Schizosaccharomyces pombe: one gene and its partners. The protein of the gene in region 1 interacts with the protein of each later gene in a biochemical or structural test. Each region holds a gene or a part of one and is shown in the gene's direction. Other genes may lie near its edges.

Region 1 (7,458 bases):
TTTCTTTTTCAAAGAATTGATCATTTAATAGAGACTTGAAACTATTAATCAATCTGGCACATTTATTGAAAAGTAGTGTCGTCCGCGAACAGTTGTGCTACAAACGAGTGTGCTTCTCAAATTGTTTCAGTTCAATAGAAAACTATTAATACGCAACAAACAAACAAAGAAGATGATTTTTAAATACTAGGACACGGTTCTTACGACACATTAACTTTAAATTACCAATTACCAGTACTGGCGAGGCGAATAATAAATATTAATTTTACTTAGTTAACAGTGATATTTTCTGAATATATTCTTTCTTTTAAAGTACTTTAATTAGAAATGATGAAGTATAATAAATTATAAATTGAGGAAATTTATACTTTTTATTGGAAAGTTTTTTATTTGTGATTATGCTGAATAAAAATGGCTTATTGAAACAATTGCTATATGATAGCTGTCGCAAAAATATAGATTTAAAAAAAATAAATAAATAAAATAAAAAATGAAGAACCGGCAATCAAATGTATCTTCTGGAAATCTTATTGATGCTAGTATCGTAAAATCAATTATTTAAAATGTCAAACACATATAAAAACCCAGCATATTATTTAAAAAAATGTCAATGAGATTTTTAGTACTTGCACTCTTCTATCTAATGCCATATTCGATGATGGTTAAAAATATCTTTGGAATAATCTCATTTATGATATGTTTTATATTTACTTCAATAGGTTCGGCTTAAGAGTTATACAGTAAACAATCAACATGCAAAACAGCCAGTGGTTCTTTTAACAGTAATAGTGTTACAAAAAAAAATTGATCATAGTTTTGTAAACATTTTGTATAATAAATGCTTATACTAAAGTCACGGCAGCAATCAAGTTTGATGATTAGTTGCTCATTTGTATGGGGTTTTTGTCAACATATAACTTGTGAGTGTCTAAAGACAATGAAATTTCTGTAAAGCTATAGGCTTAACTACAGTTATTTGACTAAATAATGCAAACACTGATAAAATACTTTAAAATTGAAACTCATTGACTCGTCAACAAAATCTTGTATTTTTTACCTGTCAACGATTTAACGCAGCCTCTTGTTGCTTCAGGATCATACGCTAAAATCTCTGCAAAAATATGCGTTAACCTACACTAAATACGGATTCTTCCTTTGGAAATTGAGCAGCGTTAGAAAATTTGTAAAGAGCCAAATATTGCTGTTTGCATAGAAGTTTCGCTGTATCTTTTCTTTTTTTTATAAAATAAACTTTAGACATGGCGGCAATGACAGACGTAACAGATCCTAGCTCAGTTGCTATGGAATCTGCAACTGAAAAAATAATTATCGTATGTGTTTGGCATAAGGATTTGATTTTCTTTAGCATTGTTCCTTCAATTAATATGCTAACTAAAGTTATAGCTTCCTGGTCATTCTGCTGATCTTACATCTGTGACATTTCAAATTCAAAAAGAGGACCATACGCTAGGCAATTCTCTTCGCTATGTCATTATGAAAAAGTAAATTGATATTAAATTGTAAACATATATTAACACTAATGTTTTCAGTCCTGAGGTTGAGTTTTGCGGTTACTCCATCCCACATCCATCTGAAGCAAAAATGAATTTTCGAATTCAGACAGCACGTAAGTGATTGAATGAAATATTAACTTATAGATTTGATTAATAATATTTTGGGACAAACTCAACTAACGAATTCAAGCTTCAACAACCGCTGTAGATGTTTTAAGAAAAGGGCTCGATGATTTGATTGACCTTTGTGATGCGGTTACAGAAAAATTTACTGAACAACTTCCTAGAGATACATCTACTACCATGGAGGTTGATGGATAAATTTGGTTATTTGTTCCCTTGGACTTTTCCATTTAAATTTCTATCATTCCATCAGCTGCAGTTTAGCAGGTAATATTTGGGCATTTCTAATTCCATTAAGGTCGGTGAAATAGTTAAAGAGAGAATAACTTTTATTTTGTTAGGGTATGGGTTGCTTACTTAAAATTGATGTTTTTATTTTTTAACGCGTGGTTAATTCTTCTCACTGAAAGTAGTATTTTTCATATCAATTGTACTTTTATAAATTATTGAAATTTTTATTGTAAAATCCGCTTTTTTTTTCAACAATTTCAAATTGGTCGCGTATTTACAAAGCGTTTATTTTCGTTATTGATATTGTCTGGCGTAACTTGCTGACATGCCATCTCTTCCTTGCACTTTATAAAAATCTGTATTAGCTAGCCTAGGATCATTGCTTTCATTTTGGGAAAGTAAAGATTTTTATGCTTTTTATTTAAGCTTTTATTCATAAACTTTGATTACCCATTATTTTCAATTGCTATTAATCACCCTTTTTATAGTAAGATAACCACGTAGCATTACCAGAGGAAGAATCGATTGGAAACTACATAATTTACAGTTTATTTTTATGAGAGTTTATTTAATTTCGTTCTTTTTCACGGCGATTTACGTTGTTTCTTTATACACGTTCCCAGTTGCTCGACCAAGGCCATCTCTTAATCGGAATGACCCGAAAGTTATTACGGCACGTTGCATAAGTGTCTTATTAGCATCATCTGTATGTTGTATTTTAACAAGGTTGATCATTGGCCCTTCATTGAATGTATTCACTTTCCCGACAGACCAAGTTTTGAAAAGTTTACTACACGCAGCAACTATATTTATTGGGCCCCTGTATGAAGTTTGGATTGTTGACAAAGAATATAGACTCTTCTTTATACATTTGAAAGACTGCCTGTCGAATGCGATTGCTTGGCGAAACATTATTATTGTAAGTATCATTAATTTCTTTATCACTCCACATTCTCACAAGTCTTTTTAGGGTCCTCTTTCTGAAGAACTTACATTTAGATGTTGCATAGTACCAATTTGTGAAGCTGCTGGGTGGTCAAGGCTTAAAATTATATTTGTTGCGCCTCTGCTGTTTGGAATGGCGCATATTCATCATACCTATGAATTTCTACTTGCCTATCCGAATGCATATATAGCTGCCGCTCTTCAAACTGTTGTTCAGTTTTCATACACCACAGTTTTTGGATGGTATACAACACATCTATTCCTTTCCACGCATAGCTTATTTCCTTCATTTTTAGTACATGCTTTTTGTAATTCAATGGGGCTGCCAACTTTGTACGGAAAAATTGGAAACAGAAATCAGACTAGGATTTATTACACGTTACTATTGTTAGGGGTTTTGATATTTTATATGACTTGGGGTATTACTGATTTTAATAATCATCAAGACTTTGAACCAAGACTGGTGCCATTAAACTAAATAATAAAAGACTCCGGCTTCATCTGTGACTTAGCAAGGCGACATACTAAACCACTTAACTGCAACAAGGTTTGCACACCCTCTAAAATAATCATATGAGTTTGGCCAATTTCCTTAAGCATTTCTAATCTTGAAAATTCCGGAATACTGTCCATTGTCTTTACTACTCTAAACATATTAGTGACAATGTCCACAGCACTGAACCCCAAATCCCATATTCCCTGAAGTTTTTCAAGGGCGACGTCGATGTTTCCAGATTGACAAGCAGTTAGCATGGCATGTATCGCTACAGGTGAAGGCTGATCGGCGACCCGGAAAACGTTTTCACCGTTCACAAGACCGAATCCAGCAACAGTGCTCTGTAGATTGTTCACTGCTTGACGCATATCACCTTCTGCTGTCATGATAAGGGCAGCCAAACCATCATCTGTATAATTGACTTTTTCCGCTTTACATATATTCAATAAACGCTGTAAAACCTGTTGATCCGTAAGACGTGAGTATCGGAGAATTGCACACCGCGATTGAATAGGTTCAATAATTTTGTTGGATTGATTGCAAGCAAGTGCAAAACGCGTTGTATTACTGTAGATTTCCATAGTTCTACGCAAAGCTTGTTGAGCTCCAGCCGTCATACTATCTGCTTCGTCTAAAATAATGATCTTATGCCTTCCAGGTGGCAGTATGACTTTTTTCTGTGCGAATGCTTTAATTCTATTTCTCACTACATCGATACCTCGTTCATCTGAAGCATTTAATTCTAATACACCTTCCTTATATGCTGGGCCAAGTAATGCATGTGCTAAACAAAGAATAGACGTCGTTTTTCCGATACCAGGCATTCCCTATAAATATAAGTCAGCATGTAGTATAAATAATAATTAAAAAAAAATAGGTTACCGAAATAACTAGATGAGGCATATTCCCTTCCTTGGCAATAACTTTAAGTCGGTCAATCGTCTCCTCGTTACCAACAATGTCATCCAGGACGATTGGACGATACTTTTCGACCCTATAAGTTTATAGATCAGCATACTATATTATATTGAACCTTTAAATTATGAAAAGATGCCTGAGTCACCAAGAAGCAATCGTAATAGCTGAACACTAAAACCTTCATAAAGGACGTTTTAATTGCTCATAATATATACATACCATGGCAGCTCATAAGCTACAGAGTTATTTTTCTCTCCAAATACTGATGATGATACTGCATTACTCATATTCAGTGTTATTGAACTAGTAACATCAGTACTGAGTTCCAGTGAACTAGTAAATTTGTTGAGTATTTTAACCACTGCATGGTAGTCACTTCACCCATCGCGAATAGAAAAGAGCATTAATATGTAAATCTGAAAATTTTTTTTATTCTTAAATGCACTATCAAAGCTAGCTTTAAAATATATGTTTGTACAATCGACACAAATGATGAAAACAAGCACATCAATATATTTATATTATTACAAAAACGATCAATAATCTGTAAAATTCTAATATTTTTCTCTTTTAAGAGTAGTAATAAGCAATAGATAACTCTTTAAATTCACGCCTTCTGTTTCTTAATAAATTAAGCTTCTTATTAAGCGAATTTATACAGCAATTAGTACATCGTTAGGTATATGCAACGCCATAGAAAAGGGTACTTAAAGTCAATCCGCTCACGTGAAATGAACATTGCACATTGCAATATCAACATCTTTTATCATTACTGGTTTCAATAGGTTTAAAGGATAAAATTATATATTTATAATATGGTAATTGCTTTATCTGATTCTTTTATCGAAAATCCAAGATCGTTTCTTCAAAGATTTCAGGATGCATTGTTTGCAGGATCTAAGCCCGATTTACAAGGCACTTTAGGCATCGATGAAGAAGTTTCTAATATTTTCGCTACAGAGGAAAGAATAAGAAAGGTTTGTTAAGTGGTTTTTTCTCTTATTTGACACTGAATATTTAGATTCCAAACTATCTTGACTGCAAATGGTCTGAGTTAAAGACTGGTCAACTACTTCGTCTTCAAGGTATGGTGCAAGACACCAATTTTGGGCATGAATTTTTTGCTGGAGCTGTAGAGGTAAATGAAAACATTTGGAGAGGCTGTAGATACATACTTGATTTCAGCGAAGATGAAATGCATTTAGATGAATCTAAAATTGTCCTAGATGAAAGATATTCACTGTTTCTGACAAATGTTCCTGGAGAAAGAACTCTTCCTGTTATAGAAGCTTTGGGAAACTGGGGAAGCGAGAGTCTGAAAGAACGGTCATTGAAGTACTCAAACCGCTTACAAGCAAGTAATGATACCGGCGTTTGTGTTAAATGCTATGGCGGAATGGAAACTAAAGTTCAAGTTTGTCAAGCAATCGATGTTATTGGAATTTATGAAGAACCAAGTGAATACTCGGATGGTTTACCCATTTTACACATGTTATGTTTTAAGGATTATACGCAATCAGCTACTCAAGCCCCTTCTCCTCAGCAAGCTGAGATCATTCGACCAAAAATATTAAAATATTTTGAAAAAGTCCTTGGTGAAAATATAGCTGCGGAAAGTCTTATGCTTGCTCTTCTTTCCAACGTTGTTCATAAAACCACTGGTTTGGTTATAGGTGGTTTTACTTTAAATTTAACAAATTGCACCTCTGAATTAGTGTCCCAGTTAGTTTCTGTGTTACGGCCTTTGATAAAAAGAATGGTGATTCAAAAAGTTAATGTCGCCGAGCTTAACAGGAAGCCGCTTTATCCCTTGAGTGATGGAGAGACATTAGATACTAGCCATTTGCAAGTGGCTCCTGGCACCCTTATAGTTCTTGATGAAACTGAACTATCGAGTGGAACCTTAAACGATGTCGGATGCCGTAACGTTCAGTTTTTGTCTTCCCTAATATCTCAACAGGATTTAACATTTTTTTATCCTTTCAGTTCTTTTACCGTTCACAGTAATGTTCGAATAATTATATTAAGCCATGGAAGATCTATTTTGCCAGCTGATGTCGGTTGTAGATGTAGAGGCGATTCTCCGGACACTATTGAATTTCCAACTGATTCGGATGAGCTGCAAGAGTTTTGTAATTTTTTTCACATGTGGAACATGCGTGCTAATATTCCCGAAAACATGCTGGATTATATTCAATCTACATATGTGAGCTCCCGTCAATATAATAAAGAAATCAATGAAAAAACACTTTCATTACAGATCAATTGCTCTCGTCTCTACGCGAAGAGTTTCGGTCGTCAACTGGTTTCAAGAATTGATTTTGAGGCTGCCCGTAGTCTAATCAATCATTGGACTGTCAACTGATTGATCGCATATTTTCTTATAATCAACATCATTTAACCAATGTTAGAAATTACTTTTCATGTCTTTTTGGAATTTCCAAGTTAATTTCCTCATTCATTCGATCAAATTCATCAAAAGTTCATTTATATTGTTATTTAATTATTACTACAAGTAAAGCTCACTTGCCCGTTTTTTTTTTGTTTTCTTACATTATCACATACCGCACTGCCATATACTTCCTTATCTTCAAATATTAAATTCAAGTTTTGCCAACCAGGCGTTTGCAGAGATTCAAGGAATAAATATAATTCATTGTATTTTTAGCTAAAATTTGATTTCTTTGTCTTTCAAATACCTATACGGAAGCAGTCATTGCATATAACATATGTGTAAATCGACGGTTTAGGCAAGCAGTCTAAAAACTCAATGAACCAGGCGAACTTTTTACAGGAGCTTCCAGTAAGCCCAATAATAAGATATTTACAAGTTAACTAACAAAATGAATGTTTAGAATGTACTAAAGCGACTGGAAACTGGTCTTATTATACCTCAACTGAAAGATATACTTCGTGTTTTTGGACTTCGTCTTTCAGGAACAAAAGCTGAGCTCATTACCAGAATTAAACAACTAATAGAGAGGATAGCTATAGAAAACAACACAACCTCTTGGGAAGCATTGAAAAAGGCAATCGATGGCGATGTTACAAGTGCCGTATGTATCTTAAAGTACAACACATATCAGATATATAGTGCTGCTGCTCCAATTGCTCCACCTAGTTCAGCTTCTGGAAATAGATCATACAGCCGTCCTTTCGCCCCAGTTGTTCATTCGCGAATACGATTTCGAAAAAGTCCCTTTTATGACATTTTGGAACAATTCAATGCAC
Region 2 (8,905 bases), on another chromosome or scaffold:
AAACCATCACAATCAATAAAAAAGTCTTCATACTAGGTTTTTTACTTTGACGCATTTTTTTCAGTTAAGTTCTTTAATCATAATCTTTTTATGAAAATAAACACATAACCTGTAGGTGTTCACAAAAAATCCTCTGCACAACGAAACACTCGTTATAACTAATAGAAAAATATAGTCAATATGCTGCTGAAAGTTAGCAGTTGTGAACCTTTGGTTCCTATAAAACAATGGATTCATACGTCCCAACTTGATTTATCAGACTCATCTAGTTTAGTGGCTGATTTACTTTACAATATCATCAAATTCAACTTTTCCGGACTAGAAGATAAACGCGCTATCTTCACAGGTTATGAAAGTATTAAAAGGTACACCATTGGTAATGAAATGTTTTTACAACTCGCTAAGGACGGATTCGCTTTACCTGTCTCTATGTCGTATGGACTATTCCTAGAAGAGACAGATACTCTTGAGCTTCGTGCTTTACCAAGGTCTGAAGGCTTACACAGAGGTTGCGAGGTGCTTGTACTAAGACTAGATAGTCCAAATGAACTTAAAGAAAATATTAGAGAATGGTCGTCTAAATTCATGAATAGCAAGGCTTCACAAAAACAGCAAATGCTATCACCCGAAACGATGCAAAAAGTTGATTTAGCTGGTCGTGCCTCACCTCGTTATCAAGCTAATGATTCATGGATTTCTAAAAAGAGAAATGCCCCCTTGTCATCTATAAGTCAATACGCTAATATGCCCGAAAATTATGCTTTAAATACCAAAAAGTCGAAAATTTCAAATGAAAATGATACTATTTTTAAAGCAAATTTTCAACAAAACAAATATGAGTCTCTACATGCTAAGCAAATTTCTGCTTCCGATTTATCATTGCACCAAGAATTCGTTTCAGCTTCAATAGTACAGCAACCAGAGCTCAATTCATTGTTGACTTCTCAATCAAAGAATTCAACTCCTTCGGAATCTGACTCATCCTCTTCCGAATCTTCAAGCTCAGTTTCAGATTCAAGTGACCTATCGTCAACCAGTGATTCTTCTTCAGGGGATGAAAGTTCGGACACAGCGAGACAATCTTCTTCAGATACGATTTCTTCTAATAATGTATCGGTGTCAGTTTCTTTAAATACGGCGAACGAGTTTTCTTTTCCACAAGGAACCTTTAAAGCCGAAAATGAAGCAGTAGAATCTGAGGTCGCCCCTTCTTCAAGTACGCCTCCTACTGTTGAAGAAATATCTTATCTACATTATGATGAACCTAGCCAATACTACTTTTCCTCTCCTAGCAAATTATCTAGTGAAACCACCAAAGTTCATCGAGGATGTGAAAATACTGAAAAACCTTCAGAAGAAGGAAAAAATTTTACAACCCCTTTATCAGATAGTGTAGAATCTGAAAATACTTGGAGCAATACCTTGCGTTCAAGTGGTAAGTCCCATTATTTAGGTGTCAACTAACTTAGTAGTTGAGGACGATAATACGGGTGTTTCCGATGATAATAAAAAAAGCAAATTAAATGCTGAATTCGATGGCCATGTTAATAATATTTCAGTTCGGCCTCCCGGATCTGGTTCATCAGCTACAAAAGCTCGGAATCTTCGTCGTAAGAAAGCAAGAATATTGAAACGTTTGATGCAAGAATCTAATGATACTTTTTCAGCCAATGAATCTACCGTCGTTGCAAATGTTCCTGACTCGTATTTAACTAAAAATGATGAGGAGGATTCAGCATCTTTAGCTTCATTAAAAGTGGCGCCTAAATACGTTTCTCATCCAGTTTCCTTATCCTCCAATTCTTTCCATACTGAATTTCCTATTGGAAGTTTGATGAGGTTCACAGTCATGGATTTAAACCCAGTTACTTGTACACCTGAAATTTCAGAGAAAACCGGTCGCGTAGTAGATTGCAGTGAAGAAAAAGTCAAAATACAGCTAGATTTAGGAGATCGGCTAGACTTGAAATTTGATGTGAATGGAGAAGTCATTCGCAATAGATACGGGACCACGCCTGATGAAGAGTTAATTGAGGGAATTGCTACGTACGAATGGTCTTCACTTTCGAATGTACATAAATTGGAGCTTACAAATTAAAATTTGATACCTCAAGTCTCTGATGTTATGACTATAATTCTGAGAACTTATTTGTTTTTAAGAGCTGATTATACGAACTCTTGAAAAGTTTAACAGAAGGCAGAACGATAGAAGATGATCTGTTGTTCATGTGATTTCTTCAGACTTTTTAAGCTAAACGTAAATTTAGTTACAAGTTATTACGTTGGTGAGGTTTTGTATTCTCTCGCAGAGTGAAAGTCACCTTCTATATAAACATCTCAAGCATATAATTTACCACATACTCCCTTACGCTTCATCATATGTTAATCTTGTGTTTTTAATGGTTCTCTAGATAAACACATTGTTCATCCTCAAGTATATCTACTTCTATTTCACTCATATTTTAAGTGAGTATGAGGGTTGACTTCTTTTAGCAACTCTCTGTTCGTTTAATGACTTTACGATTACAAACTTTGGAATTGTTAACGAACTGTTCACTGTGGATTATACCAGAACAGTATTATTCAAAATTGTATATTAATATTATGAAAGAAATTCAAAAAGAACTCACTTTTAATAACTTTTTTTGTATTTATGTATTTACAATTTCGTTTTCGATCAAGTAACATTTTGTAACTTCGTATAGTTATAAAGGAAATAGTCCATCCAACATAAGAATACTTCTTCATCTATCGAAAACTTTATCAAAGTTTGGAGGGCAGTAATAAGCCTGTAAAAGGCTAGTATTGGATATTGTATTAAAACCTGTGCGGTTTGATTTAACTCACTTAAGTTATACGCGAAATCCCTACAGCATTCGATCAACACATTTGCTTGCAGGTATCGCATGATAAAATTGGAAACCTTTGGATATTTTTTTACAAGTTATAGGACGGTAATAAAAAGCGCTTATAAAAATGACTGAGCTGTTAGCAGATGAGGTTTTTAAAGACCGTGTTAGAATTTTTCAAGAATATCTTGAACATGACACTGATGATGCTAACGTTACCTTGTACCAAGAGGCAATCCTTAGAATGCTTAACATGGGTCAGCGTCGTTTAATTGTCAATATTGATGAACTGCGCGATTACAACCGAGAATTAGCTGATGGTGTTCTTTTGAAGCCTCTTGAATATGTGGAACCTTTTGATGAGGCATTGAGAAATGTAGTTAGCACTCTCATAGATCCTGTTGTTCATAAGGACCTAAAGGATAAGCTGTTTTACGTGGGTTTCAGGGGATCGTTTGGTGACCACCATGTGAATCCACGTACTTTGAGAGCCATGCATTTAAATAAGATGATTTCTCTGGAAGGAATTGTTACGCGCTGCTCTTTTGTTCGTCCTAAAGTAATTAAATCTGTTCATTACTGCGAAGCTACAAAAAGACATCATTTCAAACAATATGCCGATGCTACTATGAATGGCGGCCTTAGCTTTCAATCCACTGTATATCCAACACAAGACGAAAACGGTAATCCCCTATCAATAGAATTTGGCTTCAGCACCTTTCGCGATCATCAGTCAATTTCTCTTCAGGAAATGCCTGAACGTGCACCACCAGGACAACTTCCTAGATCAATTGACATTTTGTTGGATGATGACTTAGTTGATACTGTTAAACCTGGTGATCGTGTTAATATAGTAGGACAATATCGTTCTATGGGGTCTAAAACATCTGGTAATACAAGCGCGACGTTTCGAACTGTGCTGCTAGCGAACAATGTTGTTTTGTTAGGGAATAAACCTGGTTTGGGAAATGTTGGTGGTGGTGCATTAGACATCACTGATGCTGATATTCGTAACATAAATAAATTGGCCAGAAAAAAAAATGTGTTTGAACTTCTCTCTACGAGTCTTGCTCCCAGTATTTATGGCTATGAATACGTCAAGCAAGCAATTTTACTTCTTCTTCTGGGAGGAACTGAAAAAAATTTGACGAATGGAACTCATATTCGTGGTGATATAAATATTTTGATGGTTGGTGATCCGTCCACTGCAAAATCTCAACTTCTTAGATTTGTACTTAATACCGCTCCACTTGCTATAGCTACGACTGGTCGTGGTTCTTCTGGCGTAGGTTTAACTGCTGCAGTGACCACAGATAAAGAAACTGGCGAGCGTCGTTTAGAGGCTGGTGCCATGGTATTAGCAGACCGTGGCGTGGTTTGCATTGATGAGTTTGACAAGATGAGTGACATAGATAGAGTTGCTATTCATGAAGTTATGGAACAACAGACAGTTACGATTGCTAAAGCCGGTATTCATACTTCGCTTAATGCTCGGTGTAGTGTGATTGCCGCTGCAAATCCTATATATGGACAATACGATATTCGTAAAGATCCTCACCAAAATATAGCACTTCCAGATTCTATGCTTTCGCGTTTTGACCTTCTTTTCATTGTTACAGATGATATCGATGATAAAAAGGACCGTGCTCTCAGTGAGCATGTATTGAGAATGCATCGTTACTTGCCTCCTGGTGTTGAGCCAGGTACGCCGGTTCGTGATTCCTTAAACAGTGTATTAAACGTTGGAGCTACAAACGCTGCTGGTGTCTCTACGGAAAACGTTGAACAGGAAGTTGAGACTCCAGTCTGGGAAACATTTTCAAGTCTTTTGCATGCGAATGCTCGAACGAAGAAGAAAGAATTGCTTAACATCAACTTTGTGCGGAAATATATTCAGTATGCAAAATCTCGTATCCACCCTATTCTGAATCAAGCAACCGCTGAGTACATTACCAATATTTATTGTGGGTTACGAAATGACGATTTACAAGGAAACCAGCGGCGCACAAGTCCCTTGACGGCACGTACTTTAGAAACCTTGATTCGATTAAGTACTGCTCACGCCAAAGCACGTTTGAGCTCAGTTGTGGAAGTCAAAGATGCAAAGGCTGCGGAAAAAATTTTGCGTTATGCTTTGTTTCGTGAAGTTGTTAAACCGAAAAGGAAGAAGCACAAAAAACAACGCCTAGAGGCTGGTGAAGAGTTTGACTCAGAAGACGATAATTCCGATGACATGGATATTGAGGAATCTGAAGAAGAAATGGATACAAACATGGTCATTGATTCGGGATCGAGAAGAGTTACCCGATCTCAGAATGCAACTTCGCAAAGTCAAGAATCTGGTTCGGAGATTGGTTCAAGTATCGCTGGAACAGCTGGTTCCTATAATGTAGGAACATCAAATACCCAGTTATCATGGCCTTCCACTCACTCGACCTTACCAGCTACATCGAGAGAGCTAGCCAGCAGTGACCGTAACATCAATACAGGCACTAGCGTGGCTTCTGAAGTGTCGGCATCTGTGAGCGAGCAGAGCACAGTTTCATTACCTCGTGAGAAGATGTCTGTGTTCATGGCCCGGTTGGCTTCCCTTACAAAATCCGAGCTGTTCTCAGAAGAGTGTGCCTCTTTGGAAGATGTTTTGGAATCAATTAATAATATCGAGGATGATGTAGGATTTTCGAGAGAAGAAGCTATTGTGGCACTTAAAGAAATGGACGCTCAGAACAAGATCATGTTTTCAGATAATGTGGTTTATCGTATTTAATTTTGATTTGGTTAAGTTATTAAAAATCATATCGTGGTTCCTGGTTCACCTAAATATTTGCATTAGCTCTATTGCATGAAGACTTATGTTTGTTCAAGATCAAACTATCCCGTTATTAAATGGACAATCTGCTTTTTGCATAATCTCATTACTTTTTTGAAGTTTTATTTACTATTCTCACTCTTTTCATTTTTGCCAATGAGGCATTAGACTCATTTTATAGCAAGCTTACACTCTTGTTAATGTATTAAATTTGAAATGTAACGAGTTGTTCGTAAGTATTTGAAGATTTCAAATCGTATGCAACTAACGTCTGGTAAAGGTTGAGTCACACTCATAGTTCAAATTACTTTTTCAAAAATATACTTACAAGCTTTAAAACAATTCAACTCTGAGTGATGTGGTGTTCACACACGCCTGGTAGATGAAATTTTGAATACACTAATAATTACCAACTTCTTACAGCAGTTCTTTTAAAACTGGTTATTAGGTATTTTAATGAAAATGATAATGTTCGTTATTTAGTAAACCAGCTATAATCTTAAACAGCTGCTTGCCAGTTCAAATCGTGCAACTGAATGCACCCAACACTTCATACAGCGTGGGCAAACATAAAGGGAACGATAACACTGAAGATAGACTTTTTAAATGGGGTATTTGGTGATTTCAAAACAAGTTCAAAATCAGTCCTCAAAGGAGAGAAAACAATAAGCTAAAGCAGTCAATAACAAACAAAAGAATTGAGAAAATCCAAAGTCAAATGATTCTTTTATTCATCATCCTCAGCATCTTCGTCTTTGTTGAGAAAACGAGGCTTAACCTCGTCCCATGTTAACTATCGTCTTGTTAGCACTCGATATCCACAGTCGCTTCAATCATTCACTAATCGAAAATACATACCCCAGCATTGGCACGCTTCCAAACACTGTCTGTAAAAACGTCAAATCCACTAGAACATTAGTATAATTGAATCATTCGATAATAGTTAAACAACACAATTCCACATACATTTTAGCAAAAAAAGCAGACACAAATATAGTTGCGTAGAATGAAGAGTTTCTTCGGAAGAAAATATTGTAAATAGTTGAACTAGCCTAATTGAAATTGATTAAAATCGATCCAAACCATTGTTTTCAACATCTCGATATCCCTTTACTTACCATTGAAAGAGAGGGGAGTAAGTTGGTAATGGAATGCGAAAACTGAGCGAATAGCATCAGAAGGAAAGGGAATAGTGAGGAAGATCGTTCCGAATGCAAAAGATAATTTAATGATTTAACTAGCTTGTAATCGATGAAAGCGATATGGTAGTCCTCTCAAGAACTCACTATCATGATTCGCGCTCTGTATCACTATTTGGTAAATATCTAAAAAATTCTAAAACTATTACATGGCGAGAAACAATTTGTTGGTTAAATTTATTGATTGATCAGTTACCTTACTATTTATTAATGTATAAAATAATCTTGACTATCGATTGATCTAGCAAACGAAACAGCAAGTCTTGTATTTCTGCACGGTTTTCGAATAGAATCGTCTTTATGTTGCTTAAACATTCAGTATGCACATAGCAAGCCCTTTTCTAAACTTCGCTTTCATTTTCAAAAACCGCAATTATTATCTTTTGTACATCATCAGCTGGATTTAAGTAATGTAATCATTACGCTCTCTCAAATACTTGTAACGATTTCGACAAAAAATGATTAATTGATGAAAAGTCAAGTTGAGTTTTTGAACACGCTATGTTGTTAAAAATATTATTCTGGTTTGTCTGGCAGTACAATTGGAACAATATATGTTAAATGCAATAATACATTCGCGATGAAGGACTTTCAAGTACATGGCTATTTTGTGAATTCCTGTGTTTTCTCGATTGTTAAAACAAGGAGATTTTTGGCATATTTGAATTAAACTTGCCATTTCATAAGAAATTTCTATATTTAATATTAATAAAGTTTTTGGGCGTTCCTTTTTCCGCTATTTGCTAGCTCTTCTATACTTTGTTTACACTTTTAAATGTTTGACATATATGCTGCTAATCCTCAAATCGCCTCAATGAATTCTTTTTAAACCAAAAAGAAATCCAGAATTTGTAAAGAATGCAGTAATTGTATTTTGATATTCTTTGAGTATCAGTGAATATAAAATCCGATATAGCAATTGTATCGACTTTGTTGATAATCATTTAGCTTTTTACTATATAGAATAACTTATCTCTTTCAGATATGGAGTATTAATGTTGGCACGGGTTTGGTGTTTGCATTAATGCTTCAGAAAAATAAGTTACGCCAACAGTACTTCCACCTTTGTATAACCATTTTACCTATAAACTTATAATTTATTTCGTTCAGATGTATTTATTTCCTTTCTTTAATAACATTATGTCAAAGGTAGAAATATAAGCAACTAGTTAATTCAAATTTTTATACTTAGACATTCATGTTTTATGTATAAATTCTTTTCAATGCAAAAGCTTGAGCTTGATTATTCTAATAAATTTCAAAAAATTATTTTAATATGTACATATATATTTATAGGTTTTTTTGTCTCAATTGTCCGAAATATTTAGCTTTTTATTTTTATGAATTTTCAATATACACTGGCGATTCTCTCATGAAAAATGAAGCTACCTATAATGGAATAAATATTTTGAAATAGCACATTTTTTATTATATATGTGTTCTCAGTGACTATAGATTATCAGATTATTAAGGGAAGAGAGATTTGAAATAACATAAATTATTTGATATATTAAATTACCGCTCAAGTCAATCACCTCATGGTTTTTATGTTATTAAATAATTATTTTGTTTGACTTTAGGAATTATAAAAAATCACCTTTTTACTTCAGTTTGATTTTAATCGTTGCATATACGTAAAGTAATGTACTTAGAAAAATTTAAGTCCATAATATATGTCGCTAATTTCCCCTTTTTTCTTTTTTAAAAAAGAATAAAATAAAAAAAAAGGTACTAGTAAATTAGCAGTATAAGGTTTTTTGGATTATTATTTACGATCATTTAAGTTAATGAACCAACTCCATGAATAAGTTAAAATTATTTTAATAAAGTGAAAATAAAGGTAATGTTTTTTTTTTTTAGGGATAATTCAAAACACATAATTATTCATGGTAATAAAGGCATCGGTCATTCTTTGTTTTTATATTTCATTTTGTACCCATTTTATGCTTAAAATCCCACGGTTCTAATGTTTGCACGGAGAACACTTTCTTGCAAACTAATCCTAGAGATTTAATAACACGGAATTTCAAGAAAAATATAATTTTGGT
Region 3 (7,968 bases), on another chromosome or scaffold:
GACGCATCAACTTAGAAACCTTATAACCGCCAAACCATTCTTCTACAACAGCAGTTTCGGCATCGCGTAACCATTGTTCATCTCTTAGGTTGGGATTGAAGTCGACATGGCTACCAATGGCAGCGTTAATAGTATCAAGCAAACCACTGAGACGAGGATGGCTTGAAACAACTCTAACAGGCTGACCATTCATGAATTGACTCATCATTTCAGAGGCACGGCCTGCAAGTAAGGGATCGTAAAGCTTAGCAGCTCGTTCTGCAAATTCTTCATATAGTTGCACAAGTCGAGGACAGTTGTTTTCATTAGGAAGTAGGTTTTCGTCTGACCAATTTCTCGTAAAAATGACAGGTAAACCCATCTTACGCTTTGACTCAGGATACAATCCGGAAAAAACATGTTCTAAAGACTCCAAGGCTCGCACCATTGGAGTCGCACGCATATAAACATCAGCGTAGTTATTCAATTCATCAGGTAAGAATTTCAATTGTTTGACATAACGTTCTCGAAGATACTCACCAAGTGTTCTGGTAGTAACACGCCCAAAATCAGTCAATTCACCATGAATGCAAACACCACTTGGGGAATTGTCTGAAGTTGGTGCTGCAAGAGACGTGTCAACTGGTGACTCAACCTTCCTTTCAAAACCCAACACAGACCATTCCTTTTCCCCTTTAATTTGCGCAAAAAACCTCCTTGCATTATTACAAAGCTTCCAATCCTTAGGGATACCGGCGGAACCAAGTCTTTCCTTCACGGGAGCACGTTCACCATGTCGAAATATGACTTGTAAATATTTCAGTTGCAGCTGTTTTGGATAATCGACTCCGGGAACTGAATCCGGGAATTTAACAGAAGCTGAAGACATTTGAGACATGGCGGCTAGGAAGTGGTTGATGATGCTGGATAAGAGCTGCTGTCAACTAAGGTCTCAATGCTTGAACATCATCGCAAAGCTCATATAAAATATGAATTACTGAATATTAACGAAACGACACTATTTGAAAATTAGTTTTGTTTATGAAAAGAAAACAATAAAATATAAAGTTAATTCAATCTTAAAAAACTGTTAGGAAAAAATTAAAATGAAAGTCATTATGAGATATAACAAAAAAAAAATACCCAGACAGGGTTTCTCTTTAGCTTTCTCAATCAAAAATAAAAGATAAAAGACGCAACCACCAAAACTATAGATAGGTTTAAAAATTTTAATGAGTGCAGTTAAAATAGGAGAGACAAGAAAGCTAGAAGTTCAATATATTAATTATTGTTCAAATATACATACAAATTTGTCATCATCATTAAAATCATGTATACCAACAAGCCCCAGTAAGCCTCTCAAATTAACCATCTCTGTTAAGAAAATCAATTAAACCATTTTTGATAGAGAAATGATTACGTTTAACCATAAGCACATAGAAAATATCTCTGGTTTCACCAGTATAAACAGCGTTTCACAAAAAGCATCACCAGATTAAGTATAACCTACATGTTTTGACGTTAAATTATACGCCAAAAAAGAAGGGAATTCAAAAAAGTTATTAACGCTACCGTAAATTTTTACTGATTCGAGATCGCTCCAAGAAAAAATTTGATATATCTTCCTTGGTGACAACCCTATTTTCACGAGCAAATGGAGTGAGGAAGTCCGTTAGCTCAGATTTTAAGCGATTATACGCATAAACGCTTTCGTTAGCTTGTACACGAGGAAGTCTGTCCAAAATACGAAGGACATCATTCATTGTGCTAGATATGACTTGCTCAATCATTTCTCCAGATTCACTGGGATCCTCATTCATCTCACTGATTCCATCCTCAGAATCCTCAGGAGGTTCGTAAATAGGTTCTTCTGCCACCAACATTGGCATCTCCAAATTACGCAAACTGATGCAAGATTCACAAGGGCACAAATTTTCCCTAAAGTTTTCTGAAAGAAATAGAGGCGCTCGTTCTGTACCAGCTATGCTTTCATGCTTCTGGTTTAAAAGATGATCGCGGTATTTTTCTGAACATTCTGAACACACCAACCATTCAAAAGTCTCAGCATCTGGGATTGCAATTCCTTTATTAGTTTTCTGCAGACACTTTTCGTGAAACCAATCTTCGCAAAGGATGCATTGAAACATAGTTCCTTCCTCTGTCTCTGGATTATACACCGTATCACATATGCAAAATCGCCCTTCGAAATTATGATTATAATCATTTTCTGAGCCACATTCATCAACGGATTTCCGTAAATTACAAGGTATGGAGTGGGTTCTTGTGGTGCCACAATCACATCGAAAATGTCGTTTATTGAATAGGTCCACAAGATCATGGTCAGCATGGCAGCTAATACTGCAGCTATAGCAAACAGCATTTAAGCTTCCGCTAGCTTTTTGACATGTCAAACAAGCGTATAAAGGTTGCTTCAAATAGCCCATCGAATAAGTGCACGTGTCAAAGCTGTAAGGCAAAACTTCTCGTGCCTCCCTTTCAAGCTCCCTTTGCTGTTCAACATATTGCTTAACCGTTAATTCATGAGCCGTTTCCTCCATAAGTTATTAAATGCAACTAAACGTTGGCAAATAGACGGCGTAAACAATTGCGAAGAATGTCTTTTGAATAATTCAAAACACTAACTCATTACGCTCCTCTATTTCATTTACAGGTATCACTACATTTTCCAATACAATTTAACAATATACTGTAGCATTTCTTATTCTTTCATCCTGCAATACTCTAGCTATTCAATGCATTAAAATAGTTAGAAACAACATCTTTAAAGTATTTGAGTCCAAAGATGGATTCTTTTCGGAAAAGGGGTCGCCGCGATTCTGAAAGTTTACCTTTTGAATCAGAAAATTCTTCTCTCGGTGCTACACCTCTTTCTTTACCTCCTTCTTCACCTCCTCCAGAATTCTCTGATGAAGCTGCAGAAGCTCTCGTGGAGGAGGATATTGAGGATCTGGACGGAGAAGCTTTAGATGTAGAGGATGAAGAAGGTGAAGATTTGTTCGGAGAAGGAATGGAACGGTAAGTTTTATAGCTATGCTTGAGACGTGTCTTGTCAATGTTGTGTATACTAAGTGTTGCCATCAATATATAAATTACATACTATTTCTTCTCCTTCTTGTAAATAAATATATTTATTGGATTCCTAGGTTGCGGTTATATTGACAGAACAAATCTTGATTTTCAAAAGAGTAGTTTCACATTTCGCGTCAAATAAGGTACTTTTTTCTAACTGTATAGTGATTATCAACAAAATTTGGAGCTAGATCGTTATGACATTGAAGAACTAGATGACGATAACGATCTTGAAGAATTAGATATCGGGGCCCGAAGAGCTGTTGATGCCAGGTTGAGACGACGTGATATTGAGCTCGATGCTGCTGCAGGTAGAACAAAACCTGCTGCATTTTTACAAGATGAAGATGATGATTTGGACTCCAATCTTGGCACAGGCTTCACTCGTCATCGACATCGAATTTACGACGAATATTCACCTAATGTTGGCGCATTGGACGAATCTGGTGAACTTCCTCTTGAATCAATTGCCGACGTAAAGGCCGATAGTATTGCCGAATGGGTTACTCTTGATCCTGTTCGGCGTACAATTGCTCGAGAATTCAAAAATTTCCTTCTTGAATATACAGATGAAAATGGCACCTCTGTATACGGTAACCGTATTCGCACATTGGGTGAGGTTAATGCTGAGTCGTTGATGGTTAATTATGCCCATCTTGGTGAATCTAAACCCATTTTGGCTTATTTCTTGGCCAATGCGCCTGCACCTATTTTTCGCATATTTGATCGTGTTGCTTTGGAAGCCACTCTTTTGCATTATCCAGACTATGAAAGAATACACTCTGATATTCATGTTCGTATCACTAATCTTCCTACTTGTTTTACTTTACGCGATCTACGACAATCCCATCTTAATTGCCTTGTACGGGTATCTGGTGTCGTAACTAGGCGCACTGGGCTTTTTCCACAATTAAAATACATTCGGTTTACATGTACCAAATGTGGTGCTACTTTGGGTCCATTTTTTCAAGACTCTAGCGTTGAAGTAAAAATTTCTTTCTGTCACAACTGTTCCAGCCGTGGTCCGTTTGTAATCAACTCTGAACGGACTGTATATAATAACTATCAAAGGATCACTTTACAAGAATCACCTGGCACCGTCCCCTCAGGTAGACTGCCTCGACACCGTGAAGTTATTCTTTTAGCGGACTTGGTTGATGTTGCCAAACCAGGCGAAGAGATTGATGTTACTGGCATATACCGCAATAACTTCGATGCTAGTCTGAATACCAAAAACGGGTTTCCTGTCTTCGCTACAATTATAGAAGCAAATCACATATCGCAACTTGACGGCAGTGGTAATACTGATGATGATTTCTCTTTAAGTCGGCTTACTGATGATGAGGAAAGGGAAATTCGGGCATTAGCAAAGTCGCCTGATATTCACAACAGAATTATTGCATCGATGGCGCCTTCTATTTATGGACATCGCTCTATCAAAACTGCTATTGCTGCTGCTTTATTCGGTGGTGTCCCCAAAAATATTAACGGTAAGCATAAAATTAGAGGTGATATCAATGTTTTATTGTTGGGAGATCCAGGAACCGCCAAATCTCAATTTCTTAAGTATGTTGAAAAAACGGCACATAGGGCTGTCTTCGCCACAGGTCAGGGTGCCAGTGCTGTTGGTCTAACTGCATCCGTCCGTAAAGACCCCATTACGAATGAATGGACTTTGGAAGGGGGTGCTTTGGTTTTAGCAGATAAAGGTGTTTGTTTGATTGACGAGTTCGATAAAATGAATGATCAGGATCGTACTTCTATTCACGAAGCCATGGAACAACAAAGTATTTCTATTTCTAAGGCGGGTATTGTGACTACCTTGCAGGCGAGGTGCACTATTATTGCTGCCGCTAATCCCATCGGTGGACGTTATAACACTACAATTCCTTTTAATCAAAATGTTGAGCTGACCGAACCTATTTTATCTCGTTTTGACATCCTTCAGGTCGTCAAAGACACGGTTAATCCTGAAATTGATGAACAGCTAGCTAATTTTGTTGTATCAAGTCATATTCGATCTCATCCTGCATTTGATCCGAATATGGATGTCTTGAAGAAAGTCCCTACTGAGACTGGTATTGATGCCAAACCCATTCCCCAAGATCTTCTTCGTAAATATATCCATTTCGCTCGTGAAAAAGTTTTTCCTCGATTACAGCAAATGGATGAAGAAAAGATTTCGAGACTTTATAGCGATATGAGACGCGAGTCACTGGCTACTGGAAGTTATCCTATTACTGTGCGTCATCTGGAGTCTGCTATCCGTTTAAGTGAAGCATTTGCAAAAATGCAGCTCAGTGAGTTTGTGCGCCCTTCACATATAGACAAAGCCATTCAAGTGATTATTGATTCCTTTGTGAATGCCCAAAAAATGAGTGTTAAACGAAGTTTGTCAAGAACATTTGCTAAATATCTTATTTAATTTTTTGACACAATCAGTTTATGGAGTCCAGTGATTTTGATTTCCCCGTTCTTTGACCCTCCTTTTGTTACTGCATCTGTTGCATATATCTATCCTTTAATAATTTGCAATCAAAATTTGCTTTACATTTTTATACCTATCTTTACATTCATTCTTTCTTAGTTTTCAAAATGTCAATCTAAATTATTTAGGTTAATAACACTTGTTTTGAATATCATTATTGACTATTCGCTATAGATACTAGGTGTATAGATACTTTCTCCGCTGTATCAATATTATTAGCTGTTTCATTAAAGAGCCACTGCCCATGTGAAATGACATTTTTTGAAACAGCTGAGGTTTTTTACATATAGAGCTAAATTGTCCATTTCCAAATTTAAAGGGAAGTCAACTTTTGACAATCGGAAATGCATCCAGTTCATATCTGATGTTCCTGAAGAATCTCAAATTTCACACTTTATTATCTAAAATTATTTATATCGTGTTACTCTTTCAAATCAGTCTTTTTATTTGGTATATATTTTGCCCTACCCTTACCTACTTATATTCGTACATCCACCAAGTAAACTTGACACAAAAACAAAATGGCCTATCCCGGGCAGTTTGGAAATTACGGTAATCCTGAGACTTATAGGCAAAATGTTGCTGGCAATATTGCTTCATATGGGGGCCCTGAAATTGACACTCAGTTAGCTGCTCAAATGAACGCACAAATGTATATACAGCAAGGTAGTGCAATGGCTCCACAACCCCGACGCGCTAGAAGACATAAAGATGCCCATGCATATGATATGTCATTGACAGATGCTGAACCAGCTTTGGCTCCTGTCATGTCGCCTGCTATCCCGCCTTCCATGAATTATCCTACGCCAAGTACACCCTCAGTACTTCCAGAATCTTTTTCTAATGATACAAATCTCCTCGATCCTGCAGCATTACCTTCGGCTCCTGAAGTTCGCTATGAAGATCAGCAATTGTTTAAAAACCAAATATTCAATACCATGGAAAAGGGTTCTCCACCTATGTCCACTACAGATTTTGTTGGGTATGAACAAGGAAATTCATCTTCCAAATTCGTTCAGTTTACCAGTTACGCGATTCCAGCTACCAATGATGTTTGCAATGCTTCCGGAATCCCCTTGGGAATGATTGTTCAACCGTTCGCAGAGTTACGTCCTGATGAAGCACCCGTACCCGTTGTAGATAACACAAATTCAAATCCCCCACGTTGCAAAAAATGTCGTGGCTACATCAATCCTTTTATCCAATTCACGATGGCAAGTAGTAAATGGACTTGCAATCTTTGCGGTTCAGAAAATAGTTTTAATGATGATGGTTTTAATCCTTTAGTCGGTAGTCAGCATGATGGAGTGGAGTCTCGTCCAGAATTAAATGTTGGCACTATTGATTTTAAAGTGGGGAAGGACTATTGGATAAAGGAGGATCCGCCAAAGCCGGCTCGCTTTGTTTTTATGATTGATGTTTCCTATGAAGCTTCCTCCAAAGGACTTCCCAAGGTTGCAGCTGAAGCTATTCGGAATATTCTCTACGGACCGGTACCTCTTGATCCTAATGTCAAAATTGCTATTGTCTGCTTTGATCGAAGCGTTAATTTCTTCAATTTATCTCCTAATTTAGAGCAACCCCATATGTTAGCTGCTTCTGATTTAGAGAATCCCTTTGTTCCATTTTCTTCCGGTCTTTTTGTTGATCCCATTGCTTCAAAAGTTGTCATTGAGAGATTGCTGGACAGTTTCCCTGCAATTTTTCAAGATGTTAAAATTCCCGAACCAGTCGTTGGCAATGCACTGGAAGTAGTAAAACTCCTTCTTAAGGAAACAGGTGGAAAAGCTTTTGTTTTTGTTAGTGCTCTTCCTACGATGGGATTGGGGAAATTAAGGCATCGTGAAGATCAAAGATTATATGGGACTTCTGATGAAAAGAATCTTTGGAACACCCAAGACAAGTGGTATACATCTCTTGCCGATGAATATGTTACTGCTGGTATAGGTGTTGATATTTTCTTTACTGCTACTGCTTATGTTGATGTTGCTACTGTTGGAAGTGTTGCGACCTTAAGTGGTGGGCAGATTTACCACTATAGTAATTTTGTTGCTGATCGTGATGGATCTCGACTTAAACAAGATTTATTTAGAAGTGTTACCAGAGAGCAAGGCTATCGAGTGATGTTGAAGACACGATGCTCAAATGGTCTGCGTGTCTCCAAATATTTAGGCAACTTCTTGCAACGAACTCCACAAGATATCGAATTTGGCAGTCTTGATGCTGATAAAAGTGTAACAGTTCTGTTTTCCTATGATGGAAAATTAAATGGAGCTTTGGACGCTCACTTTCAAACTGCGGTTTTATATACCACTCCTTCTGGTGAGAGAAGAGTAAGGGTTGTTAACTATTGCTGTGCTGTCACTTCTAAAAGCTACGATACGATTTCTCTTGCCATTGTTGAACCTATC

The links. The genes of interacting proteins can lie anywhere in the genome.
Region 2: the proteins of mcb1 (region 1) and mcm3 form a complex in vitro, tested with the Schizosaccharomyces pombe proteins (one study listed by BioGRID).
Region 3: the proteins of mcb1 (region 1) and mcm2 form a complex in vitro, tested with the Schizosaccharomyces pombe proteins (one study listed by BioGRID).

What each region holds. Positions count from the first base shown.
Region 1 is NC_003424.3:901,842-909,299, forward strand, and holds mcb1 (mini-chromosome maintenance complex-binding protein mcb1), read left to right. Parts: upstream 1-4,955; 5' UTR 4,956-5,042; coding exon 5,043-5,204; exon of another isoform or gene 5,205-5,248; coding exon 5,249-6,592; 3' UTR 6,593-6,958; downstream 6,959-7,458. Other genes in the region: DNA-directed RNA polymerase I and III subunit Rpc19, read left to right, coding at 1,260-1,331, 1,405-1,502, 1,551-1,627, 1,705-1,835; rce1 (CAAX prenyl protease), read left to right, coding at 2,425-2,787, 2,839-3,291; DNA replication factor C complex subunit Rfc4, read right to left, coding at 3,288-4,136, 4,192-4,303, 4,447-4,514; SUMO E3 ligase Pli1, read left to right, coding at 6,998-7,030, 7,083-7,458.
Region 2 is NC_003421.2:369,158-378,062, reverse strand, and holds mcm3 (MCM complex subunit Mcm3), read left to right. Parts: upstream 1-2,738; 5' UTR 2,739-2,976; coding exon 2,977-5,616; 3' UTR 5,617-6,385; coding exon of another isoform or gene 6,386-6,451; 3' UTR 6,452-6,516; coding exon of another isoform or gene 6,517-6,565; 3' UTR 6,566-6,620; downstream 6,621-8,905. Other genes in the region: coilin Mug174 , read left to right, coding at 181-1,435, 1,473-2,098; qcr9 (putative ubiquinol-cytochrome-c reductase complex subunit 9), read right to left, coding at 6,386-6,451, 6,517-6,565, 6,625-6,710, 6,777-6,779. UniProt on the Schizosaccharomyces pombe protein: Acts as a component of the mcm2-7 complex (mcm complex) which is the putative replicative helicase essential for 'once per cell cycle' DNA replication initiation and elongation in eukaryotic cells.
Region 3 is NC_003423.3:1,188,923-1,196,890, reverse strand, and holds mcm2 (MCM complex subunit Mcm2), read left to right. Parts: upstream 1-2,748; 5' UTR 2,749-2,782; coding exon 2,783-3,015; exon of another isoform or gene 3,016-3,234; coding exon 3,235-5,494; 3' UTR 5,495-5,683; downstream 5,684-7,968. Other genes in the region: SPOM_SPBC4.06 (acid phosphatase), read right to left, coding at 1-877; ubiquitin protein ligase E3 component mlo2, read right to left, coding at 1,548-2,537; COPII-coated vesicle-associated protein Sfb3, read left to right, coding at 6,079-7,968. UniProt on the Schizosaccharomyces pombe protein: Acts as a component of the mcm2-7 complex (mcm complex) which is the putative replicative helicase essential for 'once per cell cycle' DNA replication initiation and elongation in eukaryotic cells.